Diceros bicornis minor: one gene and its partners. The protein of the gene in region 4 interacts with the protein of the main gene of each other region in a biochemical or structural test. Links are inferred from orthologs where the notes say so. Each region holds a gene or a part of one and is shown on either strand. Other genes may lie near its edges.

Evidence for each region.
Region 1: of the proteins of UBA1 (region 4) and UBE2W, one has a biochemical effect on the other in vitro, tested with the Homo sapiens proteins (5 studies listed by BioGRID, with this or other methods). The link is inferred for Diceros bicornis minor from reciprocal best matches to the Homo sapiens genes UBA1 and UBE2W.
Region 2: of the proteins of UBA1 (region 4) and UBE2T, one has a biochemical effect on the other in vitro, tested with the Homo sapiens proteins (4 studies listed by BioGRID, with this or other methods). The link is inferred for Diceros bicornis minor from reciprocal best matches to the Homo sapiens genes UBA1 and UBE2T.
Region 3: of the proteins of UBA1 (region 4) and UBE2A, one has a biochemical effect on the other in vitro, tested with the Homo sapiens proteins (6 studies listed by BioGRID, with this or other methods). The link is inferred for Diceros bicornis minor from reciprocal best matches to the Homo sapiens genes UBA1 and UBE2A.

Annotation. Positions count from the first base shown.
Region 1 is NC_080772.1:25,347,105-25,354,886, forward strand, and holds the start of UBE2W (ubiquitin-conjugating enzyme E2 W), read right to left. Parts: upstream 3,008-7,782; coding exon 2,906-3,007; intron 1-2,905. UniProt on the Homo sapiens protein: Accepts ubiquitin from the E1 complex and catalyzes its covalent attachment to other proteins.
Region 2 is NC_080777.1:30,430,019-30,437,611, forward strand, and holds the start of UBE2T (ubiquitin-conjugating enzyme E2 T), read right to left. Parts: upstream 3,004-7,593; 5' UTR 2,963-3,003; intron 2,953-2,962; exon of another isoform or gene 2,720-2,952; intron 1-2,719. Other genes in the region: PPP1R12B (protein phosphatase 1 regulatory subunit 12B), read left to right, coding at 7,381-7,593. UniProt on the Homo sapiens protein: Accepts ubiquitin from the E1 complex and catalyzes its covalent attachment to other proteins. Catalyzes monoubiquitination. Involved in mitomycin-C (MMC)-induced DNA repair.
Region 3 is NC_080781.1:110,107,082-110,114,524, forward strand, and holds the start of UBE2A (ubiquitin-conjugating enzyme E2 A), read left to right. Parts: upstream 1-4,442; 5' UTR 4,443-4,619; coding exon 4,620-4,663; intron 4,664-4,803; coding exon 4,804-4,884; intron 4,885-5,289; coding exon 5,290-5,315; intron 5,316-7,443. UniProt on the Homo sapiens protein: E2 ubiquitin-conjugating enzyme that accepts ubiquitin from the ubiquitin-activating enzyme E1 and transfers it to a E3 ubiquitin-protein ligase. In vitro catalyzes 'Lys-11', as well as 'Lys-48'-linked polyubiquitination.
Region 4 is NC_080781.1:40,992,828-41,000,107, forward strand, and holds the start of UBA1 (ubiquitin-like modifier-activating enzyme 1), read left to right. Parts: upstream 1-4,264; 5' UTR 4,265-4,362; intron 4,363-7,280. UniProt on the Homo sapiens protein: Catalyzes the first step in ubiquitin conjugation to mark cellular proteins for degradation through the ubiquitin-proteasome system.

The DNA of each region.
Region 1 (7,782 bases), on a different chromosome or scaffold from region 4:
ATGCTGGGGGCTCGGGTTCGGATCCCTGGCCCGCACTGACGCGCTGCTTCTCCAGCCATGCTGAGGCCGCGTCCCACATACAGCAACTGGAGGGATGTGCAGCTATGACATACAACTATCTACTGGGGCTTTGGAGGAAAATAAACAAATAAATAAAAATTATAAAAAAAAAAAATCTACTGAAAACTTTCTAGGCAAGGACATGGTCAGAGCAGCATTCATGTACAGTGTACTTTTTCCTAAGTGCTCTACTGAAATCCCAAAAATATCCATTTCACAACCTCCTTCCACACTTTTTCTCCATATCACTATCACCTTTTAATATAATGTGCAACTAGCAAATATTTTGTTCTTATCTGTCTCCCCCAATTGGACTACTATATCCACAAGGGCAGAAATCTTGCTTTTGTTCACTGCCATATCCCCAGCACCTAGATGAGTACTTGATACATAGTAGGCCCTCAAAAAATAATTCATGAGTGAATGAACAAATTTCATAATTTGGTTGCAGTTTTATGTGTAACTTAGTCATTCTGAAAAGAGTTAAACTCTACTACTAAGTAGGAAAAAATGTTGTTCACCAGACACAGAATAATCACAGAAAGTAGTGCTGTGTTTCAAAAAGTTTATCTATATTAAAATATTTTTCTAGGGGCCGGCCCGGTGGCGCAAGCGGTTGGGTGCACGCGCTCCGCTGCGGCGGCCCGGGGTTCGCTGGTTCGGATCCCGGGCGCGCACCGAAGTACTGCTTGGTAAGCCATGCTGTGGCGGCGTCCCATATAAAGTGGAGGAAGATAGGCACCGATGTTAGCCCAGGGCCGTCTTCCTCAGCAAAAAAAGAGGAGGATTGGCGGATGTTAGCTCAGGGCTGATCTCCTCACAAAAAAAAAATATATATATATATATTTTTCTAGATACTATCAGAAAATCTTTATCAGATATTTAAAAAATACAAATAAAAGATTTAGTTTTATTTTAATTAAAATAGGAAACATCAGTTTTCTATTCCTCTAATCAAAAGACAAAGGAATAAAAGGGTGATAAGACAGTCAGAAAAATGCAGTATTGCACTGGCAAGTATTGTTTTCCATTGCTTAAGTCGCCATGTAAAATTCAAGATTATCAACATTAAGTTCTGTGCCAACTCAGCTTTTTCTCTTAAAAATTAAAATCTGCCTTTTCCAGACACTTGAAGTCTAAATCTAACCAGCTAATTAGCTATCCCTACAATTCTCTTGTCAAATATAATCACAAGTGTTGGGGATTTTAATATTAATTGTTAGTCTTAAATAATTTTAACCTTAACACGAATAATCTTAAACTGGTCATATAGCCCATCTACTGTTCAACTACTGTTCCACAGTTCCTTTTTTAGCCTCAAATGACGAAACTCCTCTAACGTCTCTGTGGAGACTAGTGTCAAGTGTAATGTTTCTGAAATTGTTTTTTCTCTGCATCGTTTCATGACATCTCTTCAACTAGGAATGTTATATACAATTTTTTTTCCCTATTCTGCAAGGAAGTCCAGACGGAGAAGCAACTGTAAAAAGAACATTCTATGAGAAACAGGTTGAAAGAGGATAACACAAAAGTACAGAAGTCAATGTGAAGCAAACGTGCACAAAAGAGGAAGAAGATGCAGAAAACAGAAGAGATGAAAGAAAAACACTGTTCTCGTCTAGGAAAGAAAAAAACAAGGAGGGTGGATAGGGAGACTTGCTTATTCTTCTAGAAACAAAAGCACAAAATCCTTCTAAGAAAAACGTGGTCTCCTTGTTAAGCAAATGTTAAAACTCTAAAAGGCGCTCAGCTGCCACTCCAAACGACAATTCTTCCTTCTCTTCCTATATGTTTCGATAGAGCTAGTCTTCATCTGTAAATTAAATGCAAGCTCTAGATAATGCAGAGTCAATCTCTACAAAACTGCAACTGTGGTTGCCATCTTTGCCTGAAAAAAACCAAACTCGTTGGATTTGGAAAAAAGGAGTATATTAAGTAGCAAAGCCAGAAAACCACGCGTTGCCAAGTCAGGCAGATACAACACGAGTTAACAAACGCTTCCTACCAAACTAAGGTTCCCCTAAAGATCTGGGGAAGAAGGGCAAAGGGCTGCAGCCTTACCGCGACCGCAAGGGTGGGGCACAGCAGGGAAAAAAATTTGAGGGCGAGCTATCCCGGGAGGTCTAAGGGGACTGGTGACTCGGCTCTCGGGGAGATCGCCTACTAGGCGGCCAATGATGTCGATGGACTAAGGGCAGCTTCGGGGACAGTGAGAAAGGGGGACGAATGTTCGTGGAGGGTGCGGAGGTGATACAGAAAGGTACCCACGGGGCAAAGGATTAAGAGTCAAAGGGAGGAGAGCCGAGGGGCCGAGCGGTCCGGAGGCCGGGCGTGGGAGGCCTGAGCGGAGGCCGCGAATCGCCTTTGCAGCCAGCCGCCTTCTCGGGGAACGCCTTTTCAGCTCCCCACACTCAGCCCCTCTCAGGGCCGCCCCTGCCCCGGCGACAACGGCGAGAGCAGCTGTTTCCGCCCGGCCGGGGACCACGGAGGAAAAGGCATCCCTGGGGCGGGCGGGGAGGCCGCCTGCGTGAACGGGAGGGGATTCCGAGACCACTGCCGCCCAGCCAACGCCAAACTTGGCCCTTTCCTCCCCTTCGCCCTCTTTCTCCCCCAACTTCGCGGCCGGCGGGTGTCCGCTTCGACCGACCGCGACCCCCCCACCCCCGCCCTTCTTCTCGCCGCCTCTCACCCCTCCCCAACGCCCTGAGGCTGAGGCAGGACGGGCCACGAGGGCCGCTCCCGAACCCGCCCGGGTGCCCCAGGGTCCCAGACGCCGCCCCCGACGAGACGGTCGCATCCTCTCGGCGGCTCCCTCGCCCGCCCAGATGCTGCAAACTCCTCTCACCTGCATTGACGCCATGATGGAACCATCCCCCCAAGGCCGGCGAGGCCAGAGACGCAGGGGGCGGAGCCGCCGTGCTTGCGTCACGCCGCGGGGGCCCAGCATCCCGGGCGCGGGGGCGGGGCCTGCGATGGGAAGGGGATGGTGCTAGGGGATTGGCTGGCGCCCGGGGGGGAGGGGCGGGTGGGGGCGCGGTAAATGGCGCTGTCTGTACCCTCGGTCACAGCCGGCTCTAGGGCGTCGGGGGCTCGCCCGCCGGCTGCTCCGGCCGCTTAGGGGACGCCGCTCCGGTTCTGACCTGAACACGGACGTTGTTTTTTTTTCTGTCTCTGCTCCGACATCCTGATGATGTCTGGGCCCGAGGGGTTTTCTCTGTTTTGTTTTGTTTTTCCGACCACAGGTGTGTGGTTTACGGATTTTTCCCCTCAGATGTCTTTTCCACACGACCATGCCCCCTCTCACACCCTTGGGCCAGATAAAACTTCCCGCGGGGCTGCTTTCAGGTTTTGAGGACCTGGAAGACTTCTCATATTCCTAATTTGGGGAAGAGAAACACAGATTTCCTTCTACAACGGGATGAGAATTGAGAGCACAACAGCACTTGGGTATTTTAAAGGCGAGAGTAGATTTGAAGAGCTGAAACTTGCCTGAAAGGGAAGAGAAAATTTTGAAGTTTTTCTTTCGTTTGTGTGCGATTTCCGCCCCTTTACCGCAGCTCCTCAGTTTTAAACTTAACGTGTGTCAGTGGTAGTTATGGTTATTCTGGCATTGGTGTTTGATTAGAGATTTGATCCTGGATGTGAAAAAATTTTTTTAATGTACCAGTGTCACGTTATAATATACACTTACACCTTCTGTCACATCTAGACTTCTCTTCAGGCCATTTCGTGGTGGGCAGTTTTGTGGTGGTTCACCCTAGGGGTGTATTTGAGTAGAGAAAGCTGAGGATACAGGGTTTATTCTGGGAATGCACCAGATCTGCCAACATTGATAAATGTTGGCATCTTTAAAAGCCGCATCTTTAAAAGCTATTCCAGAACTGAAGATGTCATTGGTTTATAAGAAGAAAATGGAAGCCAAAGTCTTGCACCTCGTGTTCTGTCTTTAAAAATTAAAGTGGCTGGTGCCTTGAGTAGAAGGCTTTTACTTTACCAGAATGAAAGCTTAAAATCTGTCATTTTATTAGCTTGGCATTTTAAAAAATTTCTATAAGTTAAGATTTGAGGGCTGGCCCCGTGGCTTAGTGGTTAAGTGCACGCGCTCCAATGCTGGTGGCCCGGGTTCAGATCCCTGGCGCGCACTGATGCACCGCTTCTCCGGCCATGCTGAGACCACTTCCCACATACAGCAAAGGATGTGCAGCTATGACATACAACTATCTCCTGGGGCTTTGGGGGGAAAAAAAAAGATTTCAATATAAGAGCAATGTAGGATATCCCCATCCTTCCCACTCTTAAAATAGATCATTATGTTCTCTGGGAAATTCCCTAATGTAATGTAAAAATGTGTCTGAAAAGGAAAAATATCTTTAAAACACACCAATCATTCTATCATGTACTATTAAACACACTGTTCTTTATCATTAGAGAGAAAGTTATATGGTATACTTTTCCTATCAGACTTCCACCCTTTTCCCAGAAATGGGCTGTTTTTCCCTTTGTTGTGCAAAAGGACTGTGTCCTTGAGGACTGTTTGGATGCTCTTGGCAACCAGGAATCATCCAGAAGCATTACCAGGTGTCAACCCAGTTGTGTTGTCAACATTTCAACAGTGAGTAAAACCCATATATCCCAATGAAAGAGGAAAGCTTTTCCGGATATATTTTCTTCTGGAGATCTTTATCCCTGTGATCTCAGAAAACTGCTCCAGAAGATCAGGTTTTACCATCCAAGGTTCACTTTGTTTAAAAGCTGATTCTTCCTAAGGTATAAGTGACATCAGATGACCCCACAAACAAAGCATTATGACATCATCAGAGCTGACAACCTGCCGTGACAGATACTAATAAGGAAGAAAAGAGGTTACAGGAATTCTGACGCTCCTCACAGTAAAATCAACATCTGGTCCCTTGGGTTATGTATGTGTTGAAAAGGAACTTTGTAGGAGGGAAAAGTCAGCACCAGTCGTATCCTTCCTAGGAAATATTAAATAGTACATAATTACGTCACTAACTTCTTCATTCTTTCATTGGACTATAATAGAAAGATCCTGATGTACTCAGAGCTAAAACAGTGACTTTCAGATTGGGTGGGGCATATAATTACCTCCAGGGAACATGAAATTTTTATATCTAAAATACTTGATTATACACAATATTTGAAGACTAGGCTCACATCTCATTTCTTTACAGAGTGGGGCTCATTCTCAAATAGGCAAAAAATAATATGTCTGACAATACCAAAAGTGGGAAAGGAAGTGCAGTTCTCTTAAATTATAGGAATGAAATAGGTAAATCACTGGAAAACAGTTTAGCAATAGTAAAGTTAAAGTTTCACATAACCTTAAAGAATCTTTCTAATAGCATCATTTGCAATAAAAGATACTTAAGAGGTATATTAAACAAATGCAATGTGTTAACATTGTTTGGATCCTGATGCAAACAAACTAACTGTAAAAAAGATATTTTTGAGATAACTGGAGAAATTCAAACATAAAATGGATGTTAGATGCTATTAAGGAATTATTATTATTTTTGTTAGATTTGATAATGATACTCATTTTTTAATTTCCACAGCAATTAGAAGTGACCATCAGGGGCTGGCCCCGTGGTTAAGTGTGTGCGCTCCACCACTGGCGGCCTGGGTTCGGATCTGGGTGCGCACCACTTGTCCAGCCATGCTGAGGCGGCGTCCCACATACAGCAACTAAAAGGATGTGCAACTATGACATATGACTATCTACTGGGGCTTTGGGGAGAAAAAGAGAAAAAAAAATGGAGGAGGATTGGCAATAGATGTTAGCTCAGGGCCGGTCTTCCTCAGCAAAAAGAGGAGGATTAGCATGGATGTTAGCTCAGGGCTGATCTTCCTCACACACACACAAAAAAGTGACCATCAAGTTCAAGGAGGTGATTCTCCCTTACCTCACAAACTACCCCATCTCTACCTCCTGGAAATAAAAAAAAAAAAAACAGAACAGACACAAGCTGTAAAGGTACCTGAGGTCTTCCTTTCCAAGGTAAAGACAGCCTGTACACAGAGAACTAAAAGCAGCTGGACTTTCTGGCAGAAAAGAGGAGGAAATTTGGGAACCCAAATACTCTAGTAACTTGAAGGACCCACAAAGGGATCACTGGGGAAGTGCTGCAATATTGATGGAGTAATGTGATTTATGAAGGCTTGAGTTGTAGTGTTTCACTAGACTGGAGACTCGGGAGCAGTCCTATGAGAATATGTTATTGGAGATGAAGAGGCAGAGTTGACAAGTCCTTCCTTGAGTCTGTGTCTCCGCAGAGTGGTTTGTTCTTAGTCTCCTACTGGCTGATCTCACCGGAGAAATGGAGGTAGTTCCACAACCAACAGCTCGTTTATTGGATGTTAGAAAATGCGTGAAGCTAGGAATCCGAGGCTTGTATCTTGTCCTGACTCCGTCATTAGCAAGCTTGGTCAAGGCTCTTAATCTCTCTGGGTTTATTTCCTTATCAATAAAATGAGCAAGTCAGACTGCATACTCATCAAGTTTTCTTGCAGATTTCAAATTCCATGCACACATTAGAGAGAATCAGAATTCAAAATGATTTGTCTAAAATATCATGTTAAAAAGTCTAGGATAAAATGCAATGGGAATGATGTACTATTTTGAGTTAAAAAATGACTTTTATAAATATAATAAGGAATGAACTTGGCTTCATTGTAATTTATGTAGAAATACTAAGGGGCTTTAGTTAACAATTTAAAAATGCTAATATAATCCAATTGAGCTATAGAAGGGATTTCAAAGTAGAAAAGCTCCAAATTCACAATTTAGAGTTGATACTTTTAAAGAAAGCATATCGCCAAAGCAAAAGCGTATTATTTTTTATAATTTTGGACCCAAACTAGTCATTTCATGTGAATCTCCTAATAAAGAACAAAGAAAATGAACAAAATAACAAATGGTTTGTATGTGTGACCTATTCTGGGTGACTTACTCTACATGTCAAAAATAGTCGATTTATATACATGTACATATCTAGTTTGTAAAAAAACTGTGAATCTGGAGAACTTTGTTTTCACTTTCTCCCCTTTCCCTGCCCGTCTCTAGCAAGAATTCTTTTACCCAGGTCTGTAATCCTCTAGCACGTTGTTTGTCTACTTCTCCCCTAGACCTCTTATCAAACATGTTCTTAGAAAGTTATACCTTTTTTTTTTTTGGCCATGGACTCCTTTAAAAATCAAATGAAAGTCATGGACCCACGCCACAGAAAAATCTACACACCCATGAATTTTGTATTTCAGGGAGTTACCCAACCCTCAGAAATTCATCCACTGGCAGAGGTGTGTAAACCTCAAGATAGAAAGACCTTTACTGAAGAGGTGAAAATGGATACCGGCTCAATCTCTTGCCCTTTCAAAACCTGTCTATCTTTTATGTAGACATAATTTCATAGCACTGTTTTCTTTTTGTTCTCTTGTTTATTTTCCAGTCTTCCTGAAGAGCAGGATGCTGTGAGAAAAGTTCTGGATTGGGAACCAGAAGAGTTGAGCAGCACTTGCCTTGATCCTTCCCAGGGATGACACTAAACTTATATAACGACAGGTGTGGCACAGGTACCAACCATGCAGAACAGAAGCTGCTCAGAGTTGGAGTATGGTCCTGGACACTCCCTGTTCAGTGGGCCAGGTATCTGTAATTAGGTCATGGGGAGGTCTGGGGGGATTCAGAGGCTATAGAAGGGAAAT
Region 2 (7,593 bases), on a different chromosome or scaffold from region 4:
ACTGTATGATACGTGAATTTTATCTCAATAAGGATGATACAAAAACCTGGAAACAACCTAAATGTTTACCAGCAGGTGAATGGATAAATAAATGGTGGCATGGCTATAAAATGGAACACTAAAAAGGAATGAACTATTGATATACACTAAAAAGGAATGAACCATTGATATACACAACAATATAGATGAATCTCAGAATAATCATGCTGAGTGAAAACAGCCAGACAAAAAGCGTATATACTATTTGGTTCCCTTTACATAAAACTGAAAAAACATAAACTAGTCTACAGTAATATAAAGTAGATTAGTGGTTGCTTGCAGATGGGGGAGTGAGGGAAGGGGTGGGAAGAAGGGATTACTAAGGGACATGAGGAAACTTCAGAGATGTTGGATATGTTCACTGTCTTGATTGTGGTAATGGTTTCACAAGTGCATATTAAAGTCAAAACCTATCAAATTGTACACCTTACATATATGCAGCTTACTATACATCAGCTATATTTTAGCAAAGCTGATTAAAAAAATTATCACTGGGGCCGGCCCAGTGGCAGCCCAGGGTTCCCAGGTTTGGATCCCAGGCGTGCACCAGCGCACCGCTTGTCAAGCCATGCTGTGGCAGTGTCCCATATCAAGTAGAGGAAGATGGGCACAGAAGTTAAACCAGGGCCAATCTTCCTCAGCAAAAAAGAGGAGGATTGGCATCGGACGTTAGCTCAGGGCTGAGGTTCCTAACACAAAAAAATAAATAAATAAAAATAAATAAAAACAAAAAAATTATCATTGAGTGAAAAGCTAATCACCAATGCTACAGAGATGGAAATATGAAGCGAAAAGTTAAAGAAAAGGAGGGTTCTTAATCAGAAAATAAAAGTTTAGGATATATGAAAGATTGAAACACTGAATTTCTCTAATGCTTAAGTCTGAGAGTAAAACCACATATACTTTAATGTAAATATAGAAAAAACTGATGTGTGACATTACTACATCGGGTACTCCCATCAGTACACAAGTTATTCATCCATATAGTAAATGCTTTTTGAGAGATAAACTTTAATAAAAATGGTAGCATTTATTTTAATAACCATACAAATGACTTCAAATCTTGCATTTATAGCATCATTAAGGATCTGAATCACTTACATATCCAAATTATATTTTACAGTATTTTATGAGGGAAAATAAATGCTGTAGTAAATCTGAAAATCCAAATAGATCTCAAGATAGACCCCTATTATATGTCGAAGGTCCATGATACTATATATTTAATTAATAACTTGTCTCTTCTTCCAATAGACCGAAAGCTCTTTGAGGGTAAATTTCCTATTTTTTTCTTCTGTGCCTGGCTTAATAAATATTTTCAAATAAATGGTGAGAGATCAAGTGGGGATGTTATGAAAACAGGTCAACTTCGCAAGCAAAGCCTTACATGGACACACAGTCTTGATATAGTCTCCGCATGTCAGGGTCTGGTTCTTCACTTTATAGTCTAAAAACTCAAGTCAGCAGTAAACCTAAATTCGACAGTGCTTAGATATACTAACTCATGTCAAGCTCACTCACAAAGACTTAAATATTAATTAAAAGGCAAATTCATTAATTTGCAAAACTACAGTAAAAATTTTAATTCTATATATTCTCTCCCTAAGTTATTTCTACTCGGGAAACGTAATCAGGAGAAACTAAGTTTGCCTACTGATCGGGTCAAGACACTCTCCTGAATCACGTTGGAAAGACCAAAAGGTCCTTTGGTTCTCCTTTTTCCAATCTCCAGGCATGCTGCTCCTCCACAATAACACAGTCTCTCAGAAATATTTAAGCAGAATTAACACTATACGTGAGCTAATATGTTAAATACAATCAATTATACTGCAACCGTCTTTCATATAAATCATTCTTTAAACTACTGTCAAACTTCCTTAGCCACACCTTTAAGACCATCATTTCTTGGAGCAAGTTATTCACTACTTAACCTCATCTTGTATACACAAATCCTTACCACTTTTTCTTAGGAAGCAAATACAGAGAATCAAGGACAATAAAACAAGCATCCACAAGTAATAAGGTCTACCTTTATATAAAACAGTGGAAGCGTATGGTAAAGGGAATAGCACAGGGTGAGAACAAGCAGGACAATTTCTCTAAAGGAGGCAGCCAGACCCGTCTCACTATATTCACACAAAGAGGTCTACGGCGCTCCTCAGCCCCAAAGTCATCAATTACTGCCTGTTCTGTCGGTATACAGGTTCTGTACCGCCTAGCTCAAATCCACTAGGGACTCCGCACAAAATAGTCTTCAGCCACACGGACCTCTTCCTGGCGCCTGTGAACGTCCCCTCCTCTCCCACACCAGCAGGACAGACCTCCCCTCCTCGCCCACACGTAAGGGACGAACGTCCCCCCTGACCCCGCACCCGCCGGCCCCCCGACCCCCGTCTCCCCCGCACCCGCCGGCCAGCCCACCTCCGTCTCCCCCGCACCCGCGGGACCGCCGGCCCGCCCACCTCCGTCTCTCCCGCACCCGCCGGCCCGTCGGCCCCCACCCCCGTCGCCCCCCTCCGCCCGCATCCGCGGGACGAACGTCCTCGTTCTGTAAGCTCTGTGTTTAAACTCACGCGCCCCCGCGCGCAGCCCTGCGGTAACTGAAGACAGTTTGAACCACAGCGAGCGAGACACGGGTCGGGGAACAGACGGCGCAGGAAGCTCGCGCACGCACACGCACCAAGCAGGTACACGCACGCAGCCCCGCGCGAGCGCCCGCGCTGTCCTCTCCTGGGAGGAGCTCCAGCTGGGGCAGGAGGGCGGCTCCGGGGCGCTGGCCTCTACGACTGGACGTGCTGTCCGAGCCTCCGCTCCACAGCCGCCTTCTTGGGCTCCCTTCCGGAAGGAGGACACCTCCTCGTCAGGCAGAACTGGGGCTCCCTCTCCCGACACAGCGACCTCCACCGGGAAGCCCCTTCCTCACCTGCGCGCTCCCCTCACAACGCAGAAGCGCGTGAACCGGCATCCACCGCGCCTGCGCGAGCCAGGGCGGTCGGGTCGCCCCGCCTCCCGCCTGCGAGACTGCGACTGGCCCGCAGCGGGGCCGGGGAGGAGCTCAGCCTCCTATTGGCCAGCGCTCTGAGCCGGCCTCCGCTCACGCCGCTTTCAAATTGGAGCGCGCGCTGGCGCCGTCCGCCCTGCGCACGTTGCCGCACAGAGACACCTCCCGGTGCTGCCCGGCTGCACCGCTTTGGGTGGCCAGTACTGCTCCACGTTTCGGTTACGCGGTCGGCTGTGCTTGTCAGAGCAGAGAAGGAGCTGGAAATCACCTCAAAGAAGGAATAGTGAAATGAAACGGAAATACTTGATCTGAGGAAGGGCGTACGTGGTACTTATCTTCGTTTAAGTATTTTTCATCTGGAAGATTTTACTGCTTCAGAGGACACGTCTAAGACCAAGGGGTGAATATTAAAGCGATACAAAATTTAGCTCAATAAAGCATTCTAGCGATTACAAATCTGAAGAACAGAACAGGTAAACCTGGGAGATAGTGAAGTCTTTCCTCACTGGGAGTTGGTTAGGGATGGCGCAGAAGGGATGCTTGCATTGGGTGGCGTTTGGAAGAGATGACTTTTAAGCCTTTTCTAACTCTAAAAGTGTGGTCCTACCTGACCAAGAAAGTACCTGGTCATAGCTGAGCCAGCCTTGACTTCTCGAAGGTTCCTCTGCCAGAGGCGAATGCTGCATGACCTGACTTGAATCTAGAGGACATGGCAGGAACTTGACTAGCCTTCACTAACTTTGAATGCTGTGGGTGGAAAAAACCACAGCAAGCCCTCATCTCACTGCTTTCGGCTCATTGTGTGGCTTTGGAACAGCGCTGGCATAGGAGTAATGGCCAGTTTTCCTAAACGTGCTAACCAGTATAATTTTAACTACTGCAGTGATTTCTGCATTTAGTCCAAATTGGTGTTGAGTAGCAACTGGTTTCCCGTGACCACTGCAAGGTGTGTTCTCTCCTCCAGAGACCCACACATGCACCAGGACTCTGTCCATGATTCTACCCTGGGGATCCTCACATTGGTAGTAGGAATGAACCAACTCAAGTAGCTTATGAATTACAAGCGTAAGGAATCCTGTTACTGTCCAGCCCAGTTTCCAGTTAGCTGTTGAGGTTTTGATTTATGGTCAGCATTTACTCATTGTAGTGAAGTGTTTCCTGTCATAATTCTGGAGTTGGCTGCTTATTTCACTGCTGATACTTTCTGATTTAATCCCTTCAATGTCTTCTTTTATTTTCTTCCTATCTCAGTTGTGTCTCAATTACAGTTCTGTCTTCAGAACTGAAATTGATTACTTTCTTGGGTGGATCTCTGAGAAGAGTCTTAGAAATGTGTCTTAGAAAAAGCAGGAACTGTATTGAGTCTGGTGGAAATGAGAGATGGCCTGTAAAACAAGCAAATACCTGTAGTTTTGACAACCAAAATGAAAGGATTAGATAAAAGAAAAAATAAAAAGTACTTTATGGGCTAAATATACAGTTTCCATTTGTCCACCAGAGGGAGGTATATTAACTGGTGGAAATAGAGGCCAGGCCGAACGCTTTCCATAAACTGTGTACAGGTGTCATTGCTTTTAAAAATGGAGTATTCTAATATTGTAATTTATTTTTTTAAGAGCATGTGTGGAGAATTGTTATTTAATAAAAGTTCTTCAGTTTATACCAAAATTTATATGCATCATAGCCAGCTCACTTAGTACATTTAAAAGAACAAAAATTGTGTCTTATTTATGCACAGGATTATTTGTCAGGATTTACTCACTTGGATACAAAATACATTTTCTTTAGAGTATTTGTTTAGGAAATCTAAACTATCATGTTTGTTTAATAAGTTGATTGTATAAGTTTATTCTCAGAGAGCCCTGATTGGGGGAAGATGTGTCAGGAAAAACTTACGTGATTTTAATTTTGAAAAACTTCAAGCCATTATATGTAGATTAATTTTGTTGTATTTTTTTGGCATAAATTTTTTTTGTCTAAGCTGGTTAAATTAATTAGATTATAATAATTAATTACTGCTTTCTGTAATCACAGAGCTGAAAGATATATTTCTCTTCTTCCAGGTAGGCATGCACTTAAATTATCCAAGGATCTTAACTACTTATATTTTACTTTAAAATCTACAAAGAGGGTATTACACTCTTAACTACCTCAGGAAAAAAAGCAACTAAAATAAATTTAGTAAGGAAGTTCTTCCTGAAACTGAATTTCTTCCTGTTGAAATTTAAGTTCACACCTCTTGGGAAAGTAAGGATTTAACTTGGACTTAGTCAATTTTAGCTTATTTATACTCCTGGAACCAGATAGTTCTTCCTTCCTGATTCTGAATGCAAAAAGAATACAGCCAAAAGAAATGTAACATTGTTGATTCCTGAAAATTTTACTCCAGTTTAAAAATCCTTATTAGAAAACCAGTATGTCAGTAAAATATACAGTTGAATGATACATACTTTTTTTGAGCAGCTGTTGTGTACCAGGAGCACAATATTAAAATGGTGCACATGGCTTGCTGTCTGTCAGAGATGTGCTTCCTGAGATTTCAGCAATATGCTTTATTCTGAAACCTTGCCCCCTCTCACTTTTTGGCTTCCTTGCCAGATTGGCAGAGTTAAGCTTATAATGTCTCTTGAAGAGAGTTAGGCTTCTAGCTGGGTATTGTTTCCTATTTGATTTAATATCAATGTTTCTTTTATCCTGTAGGGAGAGTTCTGTTTTAGAGTTTGTGGGCAATTTGCATTATCAGCAAGAGGCTGGGTTGGAATAAGAAGGGGTTCCATGTCAACAAGTTCTAAAGTAAAACGCATACAGAATTTTTAATTGCAATAAATGATGAGGCATGATAAGTTCTTGGTGACTCTAAATTAGTGGACGTCACAAGGAAAACAAGGCTATATAAAGTATACATTATTACACCTTGATTATTTTTATGCACATTGTTATTCACAGTTCATAAAGATGCTGTAAGACTTAATTAGTATTTATAAAGTATTTAAGAATACCTAATTAAGCATATTGTGGATAGGCACAATATTATTAAACATAATATTTTGCATTTATATGTCGCTTTTCATTTGGTTCTCAGTTCATCTCGGGAAATTGAAGCACAGGCAAATGTTCACATGATAGAATATAATAAAGTTTCTCTTTACAGTGACCTAATCATTTTTGCAATATTTTTTAATGAAAAATGTCAAACATGCAGAAAAATTTAAAGAACCTAATAATTGTACATGTTCTCTTTCATTATAGATAACACAATTATATTTTGTCCAGGGCTAAGGCCCTTGGGCGTATAGTTATTAAATCGATCTGACAGGTTTTATAACCAAGTTCATGGTGCATATGAAAATGTCCTACTTGCTGCCTTAGGAGTTTAGGATGCTGCGTGGTATCTTTTTGTAGCTTTGGGGAAAAAAAAATCATGGATGGCAAGACATCCATTCTGTCTCCTAAGAATTGAAGATCCATGGAAAGGGTAGAGGAGGAGGAGGGAGGATGAAAGGAAATTAATATTTATTGTGAGCTGATATATGCTGGGATAGTACTAGGTATCTTCGCGTATACAGTGTTATCTTATTTGATCCACACGACTACCCTGTGAGGTATTATTATTCCCATTTTATAAATAAGGAAACAGGTTCGGAGAAGTCAAGTCACTTGTCTAGGGATGTGAATTCAATTTGAATTCAAAGTTTATGCTCTTTCCACTATACCTGGACGCATCCTTTGCAGGATGTTTTCGGGGCCTTGACTATAAGTGTCACGTTGAACGAATTTATGTAGTATATGTAACACTGTGTGTGTGTGCATGCTCCTCCTCATCACGCACATTTACGTTTACTTTAACAATACACGTTAATAGATTACATGTGATGATGTGAATAAAACTGTAGATTTAAAACCAGGACATGGATTTGAGTCTTTCAGGTACTTTATGAAAATAGGGATAATTACTGCTCCTTTTCCACTTCAAAGGACCGATGTGACCATTAGGGAGCCAAGATGAGTGGGTGTCAACAAGAATAAACGACGACTCCTAACCGTCCAGGGAGGCTGGCCCTGGTCCGGGAGACTGGCCGGCTCGCCCCCGCCCCGCTGCATCCCGGGACTCGTAGTCCCGAAGGCCGCGGAGGCTCTCACTACGAGTCCCGTGAGGTCCCATGCGCGGCCGCGCATGCGTGTGAACGCCGAAGCGCGCGGGCGGGGCCGCGCGGGAGAAGTAAAGATGGCGGCGCTTGCGTTTCCGGCTTCTGCTCCCGGCTGAGGCTCTCCGAGGGACAACACGGCGACTGGAGCCGCCCCCGCGGCGTGGGGCGGGAGGGCGGCGGCGGGCCGGAGCCATGGCGGAGCTGGAGCACCTGGGCGGGAAGCGGGCCGAGTCGGCGCGGGCGCGGCGGGCCGAGCAGCTGCGGCGCTGGCGGGGCTCGCCCACGGAGCAGGAGCCCGCCGAGCCCCGGGGCGCCGGGCGGCGGCCGGCCTCGCGGCGCGGGAGCCCGCGGGTGCGTTTCGAGGACGGGGCCGTGTTCCTGGCCGCGTGCTCCAGCGGGGACACG
Region 3 (7,443 bases), about 69 Mb from region 4:
GAAACTTTATTCATAGACACTGAAATTTGAATTTCATATCATCTCCATGTGTCATGAAATATTATTAAATATTATTCTTCTTTTGAGTATTTCAACTATTTAAAAATATAGAAAACCATTCTTAGCTTGCAGGCCATAGGAAAAAGGATGGCAGGCTGGATTTGGTTGTAGTTTGCTGGTGGATGTGGCTGCTTTGATTGAATTTCCATGTGTAACACTGTAGCCATGTGTATTAGTTTCCTATTGCTGCTGTAACAAACTACCATAAATTTAGTGGCTTAAGAAAATACAAATTTATTACCTTTCAGTTCTGGAGATCAGAAGTCCAAAATCAATCTCACTGGTCTAAAGTCCAGATGTCAGTAGGGCTGGTTACTCCTAGAGTCTCCATGGGAGAATCCATTCTTTGCCTCTTTTAGCTTCTGAGACTGCCAGCATCCCCTGGCTCCTTGGCTGGTGACTGTATCATTCCAATCTCTGCTTCCATCATCACAAGGCCTTCTCTCTGAACTTGGACTCCTCCTTCCCTCTTATAAAGGACATCAGGCCTACCCATTCAATCCTGGATAATCTCCCCATTTCAAGATTCTTAATTTAACCACATCTGCAAAGTTCCTTCTGCCATATAAAGTAACATATTCACAGGTTCCAGAGATTAGGACATGGAGATCTTGCGGGCAGAGAAGCGGGGTGGGAGCATTATTCAGCCTGCCATGCCATGCTTTGGTTTCCCTTGATTCAGCAATTCAGCCAGTACTGAAATCCTATGTTTGTGGACCTCATTTCCCCGTTTCTCTGAACTTCACTATTTTCCCCTCCTCTCTCTTCCTCCTCCTCATCCACCTCCTCCTTCTTCTTTTTCATCTCTCTCTCTCTCTCTCCACCCCCATTTCTCTCCTTATGTTGTAGGGGCTATAGATGGACAGCATACTACTACTTTTATTGCCAAAAGCATGCACTGTGACAACTGTTGTTTCCTATAAGTGATTGTCTTCACTTGTCTTCTGAGATTATTGGAGTCAAGCAAAACCTTTTGATTTTATTTTCTGTTATTTCTTAGTCGATGTTTGTATTAAATTTTATCAATAGAAGTGGAAATTATAGGAAAATAAAATTCCTTTGCCTTCAACAGAAATACAAACTCACAGCCTCATAAGGCAGGAAAGGATAGTTTATTCAGTCTCTCCTTCCAATCCAAAATAGTTCCGGAAAATCATAATCTATTCTGCATTTTGAAATCTTCATGAATGAAATCCCATGGTTTCCCTAGTCGTATAGTCCCACATTTCACAGTCCTTCCTTTTAGGAAAACTCTCAAATCCTTGCCTGTGGACAATTTGGAATTTTTTATCTTCCCTGCAGCTGCATCGCCAGCACACTTTTATTTAAATTGAAAAAGACTTCTAGTTCCTTGACCCCTGCTCTTGGTGGTGGGGGTGGGGATGCTTGGCTTTGAAGAGGGTATTTCTTCAAGATGGCAAGGTGAGAAGGGGGTGGAAGGAGTGCTTGGCCAACTCTGCTATAGTTAGTACGTTCTAGCCTGATAATCATCTGTGCTGGAGAACAATCTTCTGTGTCGCTTCTTGCTATGACAACCCTGCTTCTGGTGAGGAATGAGGGGGCACAGTGTTCCTGCAATGCAATTCCATTGTGCAGTCAGGGAATGCTCTCCCCATACCCTGGTGCCATGGGGCTTCCAGACTGCTTGGGTTCATGCTCCTGAGTTTTCTTGAGTAGGTAGTCCAAGGAAGGAAGGGCAAAGGAGTTTCAGAAAACACTCAAGCCCATAACAAACTCATCTACATTTCTGGCCTTCAATGAATTGCAGACATTTCTATCCGGTGGCAGGAGCTTCGCAGTCTCTTTCGCACTCCCCAGTACAGTAGATGCTGCTCCTCAGTAGGATGTTTCCAATACATTTCTCTCAGGCTCAAAGGCATATAAAAGCTGCCTGTCAAGCCTAAATTCCTCATCCTTGCCCTTGAGGGTATTTAATCCACTTCTGTCACCCTCCCTTTTCTAAGCAGAGGTCTCATGATTCTCCACTAGCCACGCTAATCTGCTCACTCTGTCCCCAGAACATGCTTTAGCTCCCTGTCCTTGTTTGTGCTGTTGCCCTCATAGAAACTGCTTGAGTTCTCCCCAAGCCCTGCTTTCATCTCTTTGGAAACAAAACTGAAATAGCCCCCTTCCAGGAAGCTTGTTCTAACCCCACCAGACTGATGATTCCCTCATGCTATGCGGTCCCTCAGCATTTGTGGCTTCACATGCTTCTGCTATATATCTTGCTGCTGCTCTGGTAGGCAGAATTCTAAGATGCCACCCTCTTCCTCAAGATTCCTGGCTACTGATGTATACACACCTTCCTGTTACTCAATCAAACACTAACCTAAGTTCTACTGTGGGGGAAATTTGCAGATGTAATTAAAGTCCCAAATCAGACGATTTTAAGACAGGGAGATTATCGGAGTGGGCCTGACATAATCACATAAGCCCTTAAAGTGAACCTGGCTCTTTCTAAAGAAAGAGATTCAAAGCATAAAAGGAATTTGATGGGAGAGAAATTTTCTGTTGCTGGCTTTGAAGATGGAGTAGGCCATGTGGCAAGGAATGTGGGTGACCTCTAGGAGATGAGAATGGCTCCCAGCTGGCAGCCAGTGAGGAAATGGGGACCCCAGTCCTACAAGTGCAAGGAACTGAACTTGGCCAACAACTTGTGGCAATTTGTTAAGCAGCTAAAGAAAACTAACGCACTTGCTTTGGTAGATCTTGGGTTTATTGATTTCATATGTGTGTATTAGTGACTGCAAGTTCCTAGATGAGAGGAAAAAGAGGTTTCTTGTTCATTTTTGTATGTCCTTCCCACCATGGCCATAATGTGATGCTATTAGGGAGACCTGCCTTAACAGATATGTTGGAGTTAATAAGAGATATAAATCCTTGGCCATGGAGGTACCTGTTGTTAAGCAGCAGCTAGAATTACTGCCATCGTCAAGTGCCTCTTGCTTCCATGTTAGACACAAATTTCTGCACATCTGATGTCTTCCAGACATCTTCACAAGGATGTCTTGCCAGTCCCATAAACTTAGTAAGTCCCAAAATTTCCTCTCCCCAAATTGTCCCTCCCCCTCTACTCCCTAATTCTGTTAATGGCACCTTCAAACAACCAGTTATCTTAAAACTCCAAGTATTGTTGATTCCTTGATTCCTTCGTCTCTCTCGCCCCCACATTCAATCTGTTTCCAAGTCCTCTCCATTCATCCCCTCTTTTCTACTTTTATTGTCACTGCTTGGTTCAGTATCTTTCACCTAGAATACTTCAAGAGTTTCCTAGCTTCTCTCCTGGGACCAATCTCTGATTAGCACAGCTCTAATCATGTCGCTTCTCTGCTCAACCACCTTCCAAGGAATCCACTACCTTAGCATTCAAAACTCTCCATGACTTAACTCAAAGCTACTTTTCTCATATTTTCAAAAATTCTTAAATGAGTATATTGCCTACCTTCTAAGTTATTTTGGGTTGACCTTTAAAAATTATTCTTTAAAACTATTATTGCTTTTGCAGGTCCGTATACTAACTGTGACTCTTCCTGCAACCTGCAGCTTTTGCACGTGAATCTTACCGTTACCTTTACTTCAGACTCACTGCCCCTCCGGTTCTCCGCAGTTGGATATTCTCATCCCTTGGACTCTTCTGAACATATTGTAGCCGCTTGGCTTGTTGAACCGCCAAGGGGAAATGTGGTTCCAGAGGCAAATTGTGAGTGCCCAGAGCTAAAACCTCCTTCTGCTTGCCTTAAGCTCTCATTCTCTCCCCCAGGACACACACTACCATTTTATTCTGCTTTGGGGTTATCATAGGCCTAAATGTTGATATTCATTCCCTGGAAAAGGGATTCACAGCCCCCTTTCATAGTGGAGGCCGATTTATTCTTTTGACATTCAGTGATTTTAATCAGTCACACACACCCCTCCCTGGTCTCCTGTGTCCGCAGGGCGTGTGCACCCTCGAGTTCCCGCTTTTTGAGAACCGGTTTTGCCTCCGCCCACTCCCTCCTCCTCTAGTTTGGGACTTCCATCCCACTCCCACCATCCACAGTGGGCACTTGAATAAGTGATTTGGTGTCAAAAAAAAAAAGAAAGAAAGAAAAGAAAAAAGATAGGAAAAGAAACCAGAAAAAGCTTCCAAGGGTTCGTCTTAGAATTGGCAGGTGGAGATGGACCCATTCCACCACTAAATCCTAGTGAATTCCAGACTTTCTCGTTCGCCCCGCCGCTTGCGTCTCACCCCTCGACCGCCCGGCGCTCCCCGCCTCCCGCTGGGGTTTAATGACCTCAGCAACATTCCTCCTCCCCCCCCCCCCCGCCTCGTCTTGGTACGGCCTGTCCGGCGTTCGGCGTTCACCCCCTCCCTTTCCTTCCAGGTTGGTTCAGCCCCCGTCTACTCCGGGGTGGTGCTTAGCCGGCGCCAGACCGACCCTCGACTTCGGAGAGGCAGTGCTGTTCCTCTGGGTGCTTCCTCGTCGGCTTCTTCGGCTTCTTCATCCTCTTCGGCCTCCTTAGCCGCCGCGGGGAGCCGAGATCTCGGTGTATGCCCCACCCCTGACCCCGCTAGAGATATGTCCACCCCGGCTCGGCGGCGCCTCATGCGGGACTTCAAGAGGTAAACTGACAGGGACGGCCCCGAGGCCGGGGGCTGCCGGCCGGGGCGCAGGGCGGGGCCGGGGCGGGCCGGGTGGGGCGGGGGCGGCCCGGAGCGGCCGCGAGTGCCGGATCGCGGGGCCCCTGTGTGTGTCTCTGAAGGTTGCAGGAGGATCCTCCGGCTGGAGTCAGCGGGGCTCCGTCTGAGAACAACATCATGGTTTGGAACGCGGTCATTTTCGGGTGAGTCTGCGTTCCCGGCGGTGGCGAGAGATGGGGGCCGCGGGCTGGCTCAGCATGCCCTCCGGGACGAGCCCCGGGCGGAGGCGGAGGGGGAGAGGGAAGATGTTTGGGTCTGGCTGGGCCTAGGCGCCTCCCCGGAGCCTGTGCCTCGATTAGCTCAGTTCCCGCTGCCAGGGGAACCGTTTGGGGTTCTTAGGGGGGCGGGGCGGGGAGTGGTGGCGGTTAGGCGCGGCGGCCTGTGCTGTGTGCCTGAGCCCGAAACACCTATTTGTAGTGGCTTTGCGACCCGAGAGAGGGTGGTTTACCATATGTGGAGTTGGCAGAGCTTGGAATAGCCATCTCCTAAGATGAACCGGGGAGATGGGAGCCCCGTAAGCGGGCACTGACTCTTTTTCTCTGTTGCAGGCCTGAAGGGACCCCGTTTGAGGATGGTAAGAGAGTTTCTTTACCCACCTTTGGGGAGCCTTATCAGCTGGGGAAACGGTTTTGTCATCCGGGAAGTGCCTCCTACTTAGGAACCTGCTTCTCGCTAGCCTCAGCCTACTAAAGGCTTGAGTGGAATCCAATATATGGCAGGTTGTTCTGGCGATTGTCCGCTTGACTAGAACTGCACCCTTTTTCTTGCTTGCTTCTTTTTAAAAAAAATCTGGGTAAGGCAGTCACGTTTTAAAAGGCGCATCATAGCACCGATGTTAAGGGTTTTGGGGGTTTGAGCTGTGATCCTGCTTAATTCAGCCCCCCATCGAGATACTGAGTTAGTATCAACCCAACCACTTGCTGATAGACTTAGAGACCCCAGAGACCATCTGGTTCAGAATTCTACCACAAGGGGAGGGACTGTGTTCAGCAGGTGCTTAATGTGTGTTTGTTGGATGTGGAATGGATGCAAGAATCCCTTGTGCATAACTATCTGGTTTCTGCAATGTGGAATTGAATGCCTGTCAGACTCGCTGCTCTAAGATGGTCTTTAATGGCACCTTTACTGCCCAGTTTGAGTATAATATTGTTTCTTATTTTTAAATGAGTTTTCGGTGGGTGTGTTTATCAAGACTTTACGGTCAGTAATCTCAAAGAAGCTTCAGAATTGAGGATAGCCTTAATGTACTCTCTTGACCAGTGTCCAACCTACTTGAAGCTACTACATGTACCTCGGTATGTGATTTTTAATGAATTTAGATTTAACTTTTAAAAACACACATGTTTATTGCTTTTTAAGGATTTTTAAAAACTTTCTATTTTGAGGTAATTATAGATTCATGTGCAGTTATAATAAATAATAATAATAATGCAGAGAAACCCTGTATACCCTTCACCCACTCCCCCCTCCTTTGGTAACATCTTGAATGACTGTACTACAATATCACAACCAGGAAATTGACACTGATATAGTCTATGTGCATTCAGTTTTGTGTGTGTGTGTGTGTATAGTTAATTGGCTTTGAAAGTTTAATACATTTAAAAGATGATTAAAAGTATTTGAACTACTGATTGACATCTTTAATATCTGAAGTATTTAAAAAAAGAAAAGGATCTTTCTGTTATTTTTTTTCTCAATGACTTGTCTTCCTTTGGTCACATAATACTTGATACACACACACACACACACACACACACACACACACACACACACACATAACTCAGTTTGAAGGAGGGAACAAAAACATTTCTGCAAACTACCAAGTACATTGCTGAGTCGGATTGCTTTTTGATGCTACCAGTCCACAAGATGTTGTGAGGTAGGTTAATATCAGCCAATTCTGCAATTTGTCTCAAATACTCAGATTTCCTTGGGAGACTGTAGACAGTCACCTAAATACTTTTAGCTTTCTCTCTACCTTCAGCCCCTGAGTAAATATCACCACTCTTCAGTGCTGCCATACAAAGAAATGACAGCAGGAGAGAGTGATTCTAAAGACATACCACTTTGGTGCAGTAAATCATTTGAACTGATCCATAGCAAGAGCTAGCTAGACTTAATTTTCTCTGCCTAGATTGGTGCTAGTTCTTCATACCTGAGCTTTCTGTGCAGATTAACTGTGTATTTGCTTTAGCTTTAGCAGGCTTTGTTTTCATTGGCTTCTTTTTCTCCTCCTGATTTTTCTTAGACTGCCTTATGCTGGGCACAGCTTTATTAATAGTACATCACGTTGCTGGGGGTTGGATACCTAAATATTTCAAGAGTGCTTCTGTTGTTTTAAGTGGTATGAATTGAAAAGGTACTTATGGAATCCGTTATCTACCTGCACCTTCCCCCTTGACATTACTGGCTCTATTTCTGATGATGTGTATCTCCATCCTGGCATTACTGAAAGGGAATTATTCAGGCTAAATGAGAGTACCCTTTTCTGCTTCACAGTTGAGCAGTCTGCTATCCATAGACGCTTCCTCAGGTGTCTAGAACACTCACCGTGGCTAAAAAATAATATTTTTGACCATTTGAAAGTACCTCTTATTTACAGTTAGGGAATTTACTGGAAAACACTGATTTAGGGATAAGTGGCATAGTTAATTTTGCTGTTTCCAATGTATTATATATATCAACAGCCTCAAAAGTACTTT
Region 4 (7,280 bases):
TGTCAACTAACTACGGAACAGTGATAGAGTTAGAAAATCTATGGATGCTAAAACTAGTGGTGACACTTTGATGAGGAACAGGATATTTACATAGATCCAAAGTATCTCTCCACGAAATGCATGTTAGTTAATTCGAAAAGGAAAAACATTAATGTGGAGAAACCTGGCAGACACCATCCTAATGAAGGGAACAAAGTGAAAATTATCCATATTAAAATCATGAGCCCCCTGATAGGATGAAACAAAGAGACAGCATATCCAAGATGCAGAACCTGAAGCTAACCATGAAGAAACATCAGACAATGCCAAACTGAGGGACAGTCTACAAAATTCCAGGCTTATATTCTTCAAAAGCATCAAGGTCATAAAGGTCAAGGGAAGATTGAAGAACTGTTCCAGACTGAAGGAGACATGCCATTTGAGTGTTCAGATGTCACCTCCTTAATGAAGCCTGCCCCAGCTACCCCGTTTAAAATTCCAAACCCTCCCCCACCACCTTGTGACCCCTTCCTTGCATTACTTTTCTCCATAACACTTCTCAACGTCTAACGTACTATATATTTTCTTACTTTTCTATATTGTTTGTCTCCTTCACTAGAATGAAAGCTCCACGAGGGAAGGGACGTCTGTCTGCCTTGCTCACCACTGTGTCACCAATGCCTAGAATAGGGTTTGGCGCGTAGCAGACCTTGCAAGCATGAATAAATACACACACCACAGCTGTTCAAATTACTCTCATCCTCAAGACTCCATTTTTAAAAAAGGCTAATATATAAAGAGTTCCTAAAAATCCATAAGAAATACAACAACCCATTAGATAATGGATAAAGGACACGAACAGAAAATCCCCAGAAAGCAAGAACTGTAATACCTTTAACTCTATGAAGAGATGCCCAAGCTTACTCCTAATAAGAGAAACGCAAATTATAATTACACCGGATTGGCAAACAACCTAAGTCTTGACAATCTGCTCATTGAGGCTGTGAACCAGCAAGCACTCTCATACATGGCTGGAAGCAATGCAAAATGGTACAACTCTTGCCCCCACCGTCCACCTCCCTCCGCTTTTCCTGCTTCCCTACCTCCACAGGCTTTTGCTCAAGCTGTTTCCTCCAACTGGAATGCCCTTCCCTCTCACTCAGTAAAGTCCAAAGCCGGCCTCAATTACTCCCAATGATCCATTTGAAGGCAACCAATTCTTCAGAGAAGAACTTGGCCACACCTATGGCTTCAGTTGTCACCTCTGATGGTCCCCAAATCTGTATCTCCAGCCCAGACCTCCCTCCACCTCCTGAATTTTAGACCCAGTCCCCAACTGTTTACTCAACTGACACATACCAGACCTTGGACATCTAACAGGCATCTCAAATGTAATACATCCAAAACCAAATTCCCGATTTTGCCCCACATCTGCTCCTCCTGAAGTATTTCCCATGTCAGTGGATGACAACTCCATTCTTCCAGGTGCTCAGGCTAAAAATCTGGGGGTCAACTAGGACTACTCTCTATTTTTCATGCCCCATATCTGATCTCTTGGCAAATCCTGGCTTCTTTACCTTCAAAATCAACCCAAAGTCTAAACCCCCCGTCACCACTTCCACTTTCACCACCTGGGTCTGATCCTCTCATCATTTCCTGGACTCTTGCAGTGGCCTTTCCACTGGTTTTTCTGCTTCCACCTTTCCCCTTACAGTTTGTTCTCTCTCCACACAGAGCAGCCAGATTGTTCATTCTAAAATATAATTTAAGAAGGAGGGGGATAAACCCAGCACCACCGTCCATACCAGCCGCACCATGTCCTCAGCCTGCACAGCCACGGAGGCCGCAGCAGCGGGAGTTCCAGGGTCTCCCTTCCCCGCTCTAGTAAGCTGGGTCCGGGGCCTCGGTGGTGCTCCCGATGTCCCTCACCCACCCCTGAAGATCCCAGGTGGGCGAGGGAATAGTCAGAGAGATCACAATCTTTCAGCTAATTTATTTTACTCTGATAATTGGCTGAATGTAACAGAGGAACTAACGTCTAACGACAAGACGAGAATCTTGAATGTCCAGACCAGGCTCAAGGCCGCCAAGCACATCAGCTGGAGAGTGGTGCTGCAGGGGGCTCCCTCGACGTTGAGATCCGGGGCGGGGCGCTGCCCGAGGGCAGCGAGGACAGCTTCGAGGTTCTTCCCGAGTTTGCCGAGGAGCAGCCCACGCTGACCGCGTCTTCATTTGCTTCCACAAGAGCCGTGATGACAGAGCCGCCTTGCTCCGTACCTTCAGCTTTCTGGGCTTTGAGATTGTGAGGCCAGGGCATCCCCTTGTCCCCAAGAGACCCGAAGCTTGCTTCATGGCCTACACCTTCGACAGAGTCCTCCGGCGCGGAGTAGTGGAGACCTGCGTCCTCGCACCTCACCGCCCGGAGCTCGATCAACCACAGTGCCCCCTGTCGCGCTGTGCCGCTCTGTGCCACACTGTGCGGGTGGCGTGACCAGCGCTGCGCTGGGTCGGGTGTGAGGCCTGCTCCTCTGCTGGGTGTGTCTGCGTGTTGTAATTGTGCAAATAAACGCTCACTCCAAATTAGCATATATTTCTTGAAGTTTAATGTTCTGTTTGTGATACTGAAGTATTTGCTTTAATTCTAAATAAAAGTTTATATTTTACTTTTTTATTGCTGGTTTAAGATGATTCAGATTACCCTCGTCTTTTGAGGGGGAGTTTCTTATCTGAAGTCTTTTGGAAACAGTCTTAGATCTCTTAACTTGGAAAGATAGGTAATAATCGGCCCTTCTAGTGCTCTCAAAAATCCGAATAAAAGCGATTACACCGCCAAAAAAATATATATATATAATATAATTTACATAATGTGACTCCCCTGCTTAAAATCCTTTTACGGCTTCCCACAGATCTTAGAATGAAAACCAAACGTCTCAGCCTGGCTTACAATGCCTTACTTGACATGGCCTCAGATCTCATCTCCCAGTGCTCTCCCTTCCTCACTCCTCTCCAACTACACAGACTTCTGTGCTCTTCCTCAAACCTGCCAAGAACTTCCAACCTCAAGGCTTTGCACCTGATGTTCCCTCTGTCTGGAATGCTTTCCCCACTCCACGCGTGGCTCGCTTCCTCACTTTTCACATGCCTCCTCCTCAGAGAGGCATTCGCTGACTACTTTACATGGGGAATCAGGAGAGGTCTCTCTGAGGTGAGGCAAAGGATACAGAAGAAGGAAAAGACCTGAGGGAAGAGTGTTCTAGAGTACTGCAAGGATAGTTTCCTTGCTATGTTCTTTGCTATGCTCCCAGTCCCCTGCACTTAGTAGACACTCAATAAATCTTTTTCAAATGAACAGCTTTGGAGGTTGTTGACAGGATATGAGATACAGAATTTGGGATAAGGTGACAAAGGCATTTTGTGTTAAACACCTTTGCTCAAACATCACCTTCTCAGCGAGGCCTTCCTTGACCACACTATCTAAAAATGCAACCTGTCCCCACAGATTTCCCCTTACCTTGTTCTATTTTTCTCCATAGCGTTTGACAGTTATCGCATATATACAATACATATTTACGTATATATTTAATCATATATTCACATATGAATATAGAATATACACAGTGTATTTAATAAGACATTTATTATATACAGATGTAAATTATTTACATATTGACACTAGCTATCATGTTATGTAAACTATGTAGTGTTTATATGTACATTTTGTTTTATATAATTTATATTATAGAGTCACATATATTATAATACATATGTATATGTGAAACTACAATCTTTAGTTATTTGTTGTATTTATGGTCTGTCTCTCTCGCTAGAATGTCAGCTCCGTGAGGGAAAGGAAGAATCCCTAGCACCGGTCCCACAGCTTGAGCTCCACAAATGTCAAATAAATGAACTCCTTTGGCCTTCTAAGCCTCAGCCTTGCCATCTGTAGGATGGGTGTGCCTTTCCATCTGGAGGTACCCACCATGTTCCGCTCCCTTTTCCTATCCCTCCAGAGCTCAGCTCCTGGAATTCCACAGTCCAGGTTTACATTTTCCTATACCCTGGGCGCTGATGCCCACCACGTGCACCAGGCACTGGTCAGACAGGACTACCGCCCCCAGCATGCCTCGCGCGTTTGGGAAGTACCACAACCTGTAGGGGTGTCTGGGTCTGACATGGGCGCTGACGGCGCGGGAGCAGGGGCGGGCTCCCCTCTAGCTTAGCATCTGTGGTACATCCCAAACCGGGGCCCTCCAAGGCCCCGCGCTTCCGAGCTCCGCGCAAACTCTGGCGCTTCTTGTACGACGGAGGTGGTTTTCTCTTCCGTTGCCCCGTGGCTTCGGCTCATCTCCAGCAGGAAGGCGAGGCTTCCGCCCGGCGCAGGGGGTGAGCTGGAGCGCGGTGCCCCCAAACCCCTGGACAGCATTTGAGGGAGGGGGCTCAATTTCGGGGATTCCCTAATGGCCATATTTGGAGGCTCTGGGCCTGGGGTGGCATTTAGGGGTGGCTATTTTTGAGGGTACCCTTAGGAAGTGGTGTTTGGGGTCTCTGGGGTGGGATTTGGGAATCTGTTTTAGGAGATACCTCGGAGGCAGCGTTTATATACCCCTCGGAAGCAGAGTTTATACCCCTAGGAGACAGGGTTTAGGGGGATGTTCGGAGAGACCCTTAGGGTCCGTGTGTGAGTACTTTGTCCATGGGGCAGGATTCGAGATGCTCCCCAAGGGGAGAGGTGAAGTTTGGGGTTCCTGAAGCCAAGATGGAATTTTGAGAGCGCTTGTTTCATGAAAGGTCCTGGTGACAGTGGGAACGTTCAGGACCGACGTGGCATTGTGGAGGTATCTGTGGCCTTTGTGACCTCAGGTTCAGTGACGAGGTCCCCCCGCGCTTGGGTACTTGGGGCGGGAAGACTGGACACGTCTGGGCCCACACGTTTCTAGGGAGAGGAGCCGCCGGCCCAGGCTGTGGAAGGGACGCCGGAGCCCAATGTGCTAGGCTCGTCCCTAGGGGACCGGGTGCCACCCGGCCTTCTTGGGCCGCGGCTTTATTCATTATTCATGAGGAGGTGGGGCTGTTGAGGAAGCCTATTTTTGCCTCTTTCGCACCTGGTCCGCTGGAAGTGTCGGCTTGTGAATTATTCACGAGGGGGCGGATCAGCATGCTGAAAGGGTGTGCTGAGGGGCGTTCTGCATTCTGCCAGGCAAACTAGAGCTCACTGATTAATCGTAAAGGTGAGTAGCGCCCCGAGCTTTCTGTGGCTTTTCCAGGGGTGTTGTGCGTAATTCATGAGAGGTGTAGCTTTTACAGCTTCATCTGCGTGATCCGCTGTTAGTCTTCCCCTGTGGGTTCCAGGATTTAAGCCTTGCGTCTAGCAAAGGATTGAGGCCTCGTGTATTGTTCATTCCTTATGGCCCAGTAATCCCAGATTATCAACAAAGGCTCTAGATTCAAATCCCATTTATCCTTCCCAGCTGCGTGATCTTTGGCAAATCCTTCTGTGAGCCTTAAAAATGGGTATGGGCATAATGATAATCAGATTAGTTTTCACTCATTTAGCACTTTATTAGCCCATTTAATCCCCACAACAATCCTAGGAGGTAGGTTATTATTACCCATTTTATAGATGAGGAAACTGGGACACCAGGCGGCTAAATAATTTGCCTAAGGTTACTCACAGTCAGTGAGTCAGTCTAGTTCCAGAGTCTGTAGTCTTTTTAATTTTTTAATTTATTTTTGCTGAGGAAGATTCGCCCTGAGCTAACTCGGTGCCAGTCTTCCTCTGTTTTTTTATTTATGAGTCGCTGCCACAGCGTGGCTGAGGAGTGGTGTAGGTCCGTGCTGGTGATCCCAACCCGAGAACCAGGCCGCCGAAGCCGAATGCGCGGAATTTAAGCGCTACACCACAGGGCCCGCCCCCAGAGTCTGTAGTCTTAATCAAATGCCATAATGCCCCCTCCTCCCAATTTAATGGTACTACTACTAAAGTTAGTCATATAGCACTATTAGAACAGGCACTGTTCTAAGCCCTTTCTACATATTTACTCGTTTAAACTCCATCACAAGGTAAGTTACTATTGTTCTCAATTTATGGGTGGGGAAACAGTGGCCCAGAGAAGTGAAATGTCTGGCTCCAGGTCACACAGCTAGTCATCCGTGGATGGAAATGATTTTTGTGAGGGTTTAAGAACTCTCTAAGGAGATCACCTTTGAGCTGAGACCTGAAGGAAAAGAAGGAACCCATTTCCTGTTCTGCATTCCTGAGGTCAGTGGCACAATGCATGTAAAGGACACACTACAGGAGCCACGACATAGTGGTGTTAGCGATCTATTAATGTGATCTATTATTATTATTCGACAGAAATGTATTGGGCGCTTACTGTGTGCCTTGGGCTTTGATATACAGTTGTATCTCTGGTGACATGGTAGTCTACCCTACCTGTTTAATGGCCATTGGTGGCCTTAGCATTCTGTTTTCCAGTATCCTTCTGGGATGGTGTTTCAAGGCATTACTTTTAAAATAATGCCCCAAGTTGGGGGTTTCTCTAGGGGCTGGGTATACCCGCACCTATAACTAATTTTATATTAATATAAATATATATTTACATATTACCTTTATAGTAATATATAATACTTAAAAAATTTAACAGTGCCTTGTGCCAGCACTGCTCTGAGCTCATTCCATAATTCACATTCTCTGATTTTCATAACACATTTTGCCTTTACAAGGTGGATGAGTTCAATTACTATACCCATTTTACGGTTGTGGAAACAGAGGCACCTGCCAAAGGCATGTAGTGAGTCTGGATTTGGTTGGACCAAGGCAGCCTTGGTTCATGTGCAGTTAGTCAGAGGTGGGGAGGAGGCAGCTGCACTTCCCCTGGGTTTCCCCTGTGGCTCTGCAGCATCGTCTTTCATTTTTCATGAACAGGAAGGCGTGGCCATGTTGCCTTGGCTGGAGTACCATAATCCCTACTTGCTGGGCAGGGCTGCCTTGAGTGTTTCTGTCCATCCAGCCTGGTGCATAATTCATATTAACTGGGTGGGACCTTGCTTAACCTCTTTGAGTTTCCAGGTTGAGCTGCGGCAACAGTATTATTCATTATTCATGAGCCAGGGGAGTATTTTCCCTGTAGTAGCCCTATTTCCCTGCTTAGAGGGTATGAGATGCAGCAATAGGTGGACCTATCCCTTTTTTTCCAGCCCACCGAGACTTATGCATTATTCATGATAAGTGGCCTTGGTCTCCTTGGCTTCCCTGCTGCTGCAAGATTATTCATTATTTATGAGCAGTTGGGCGTGGCTTC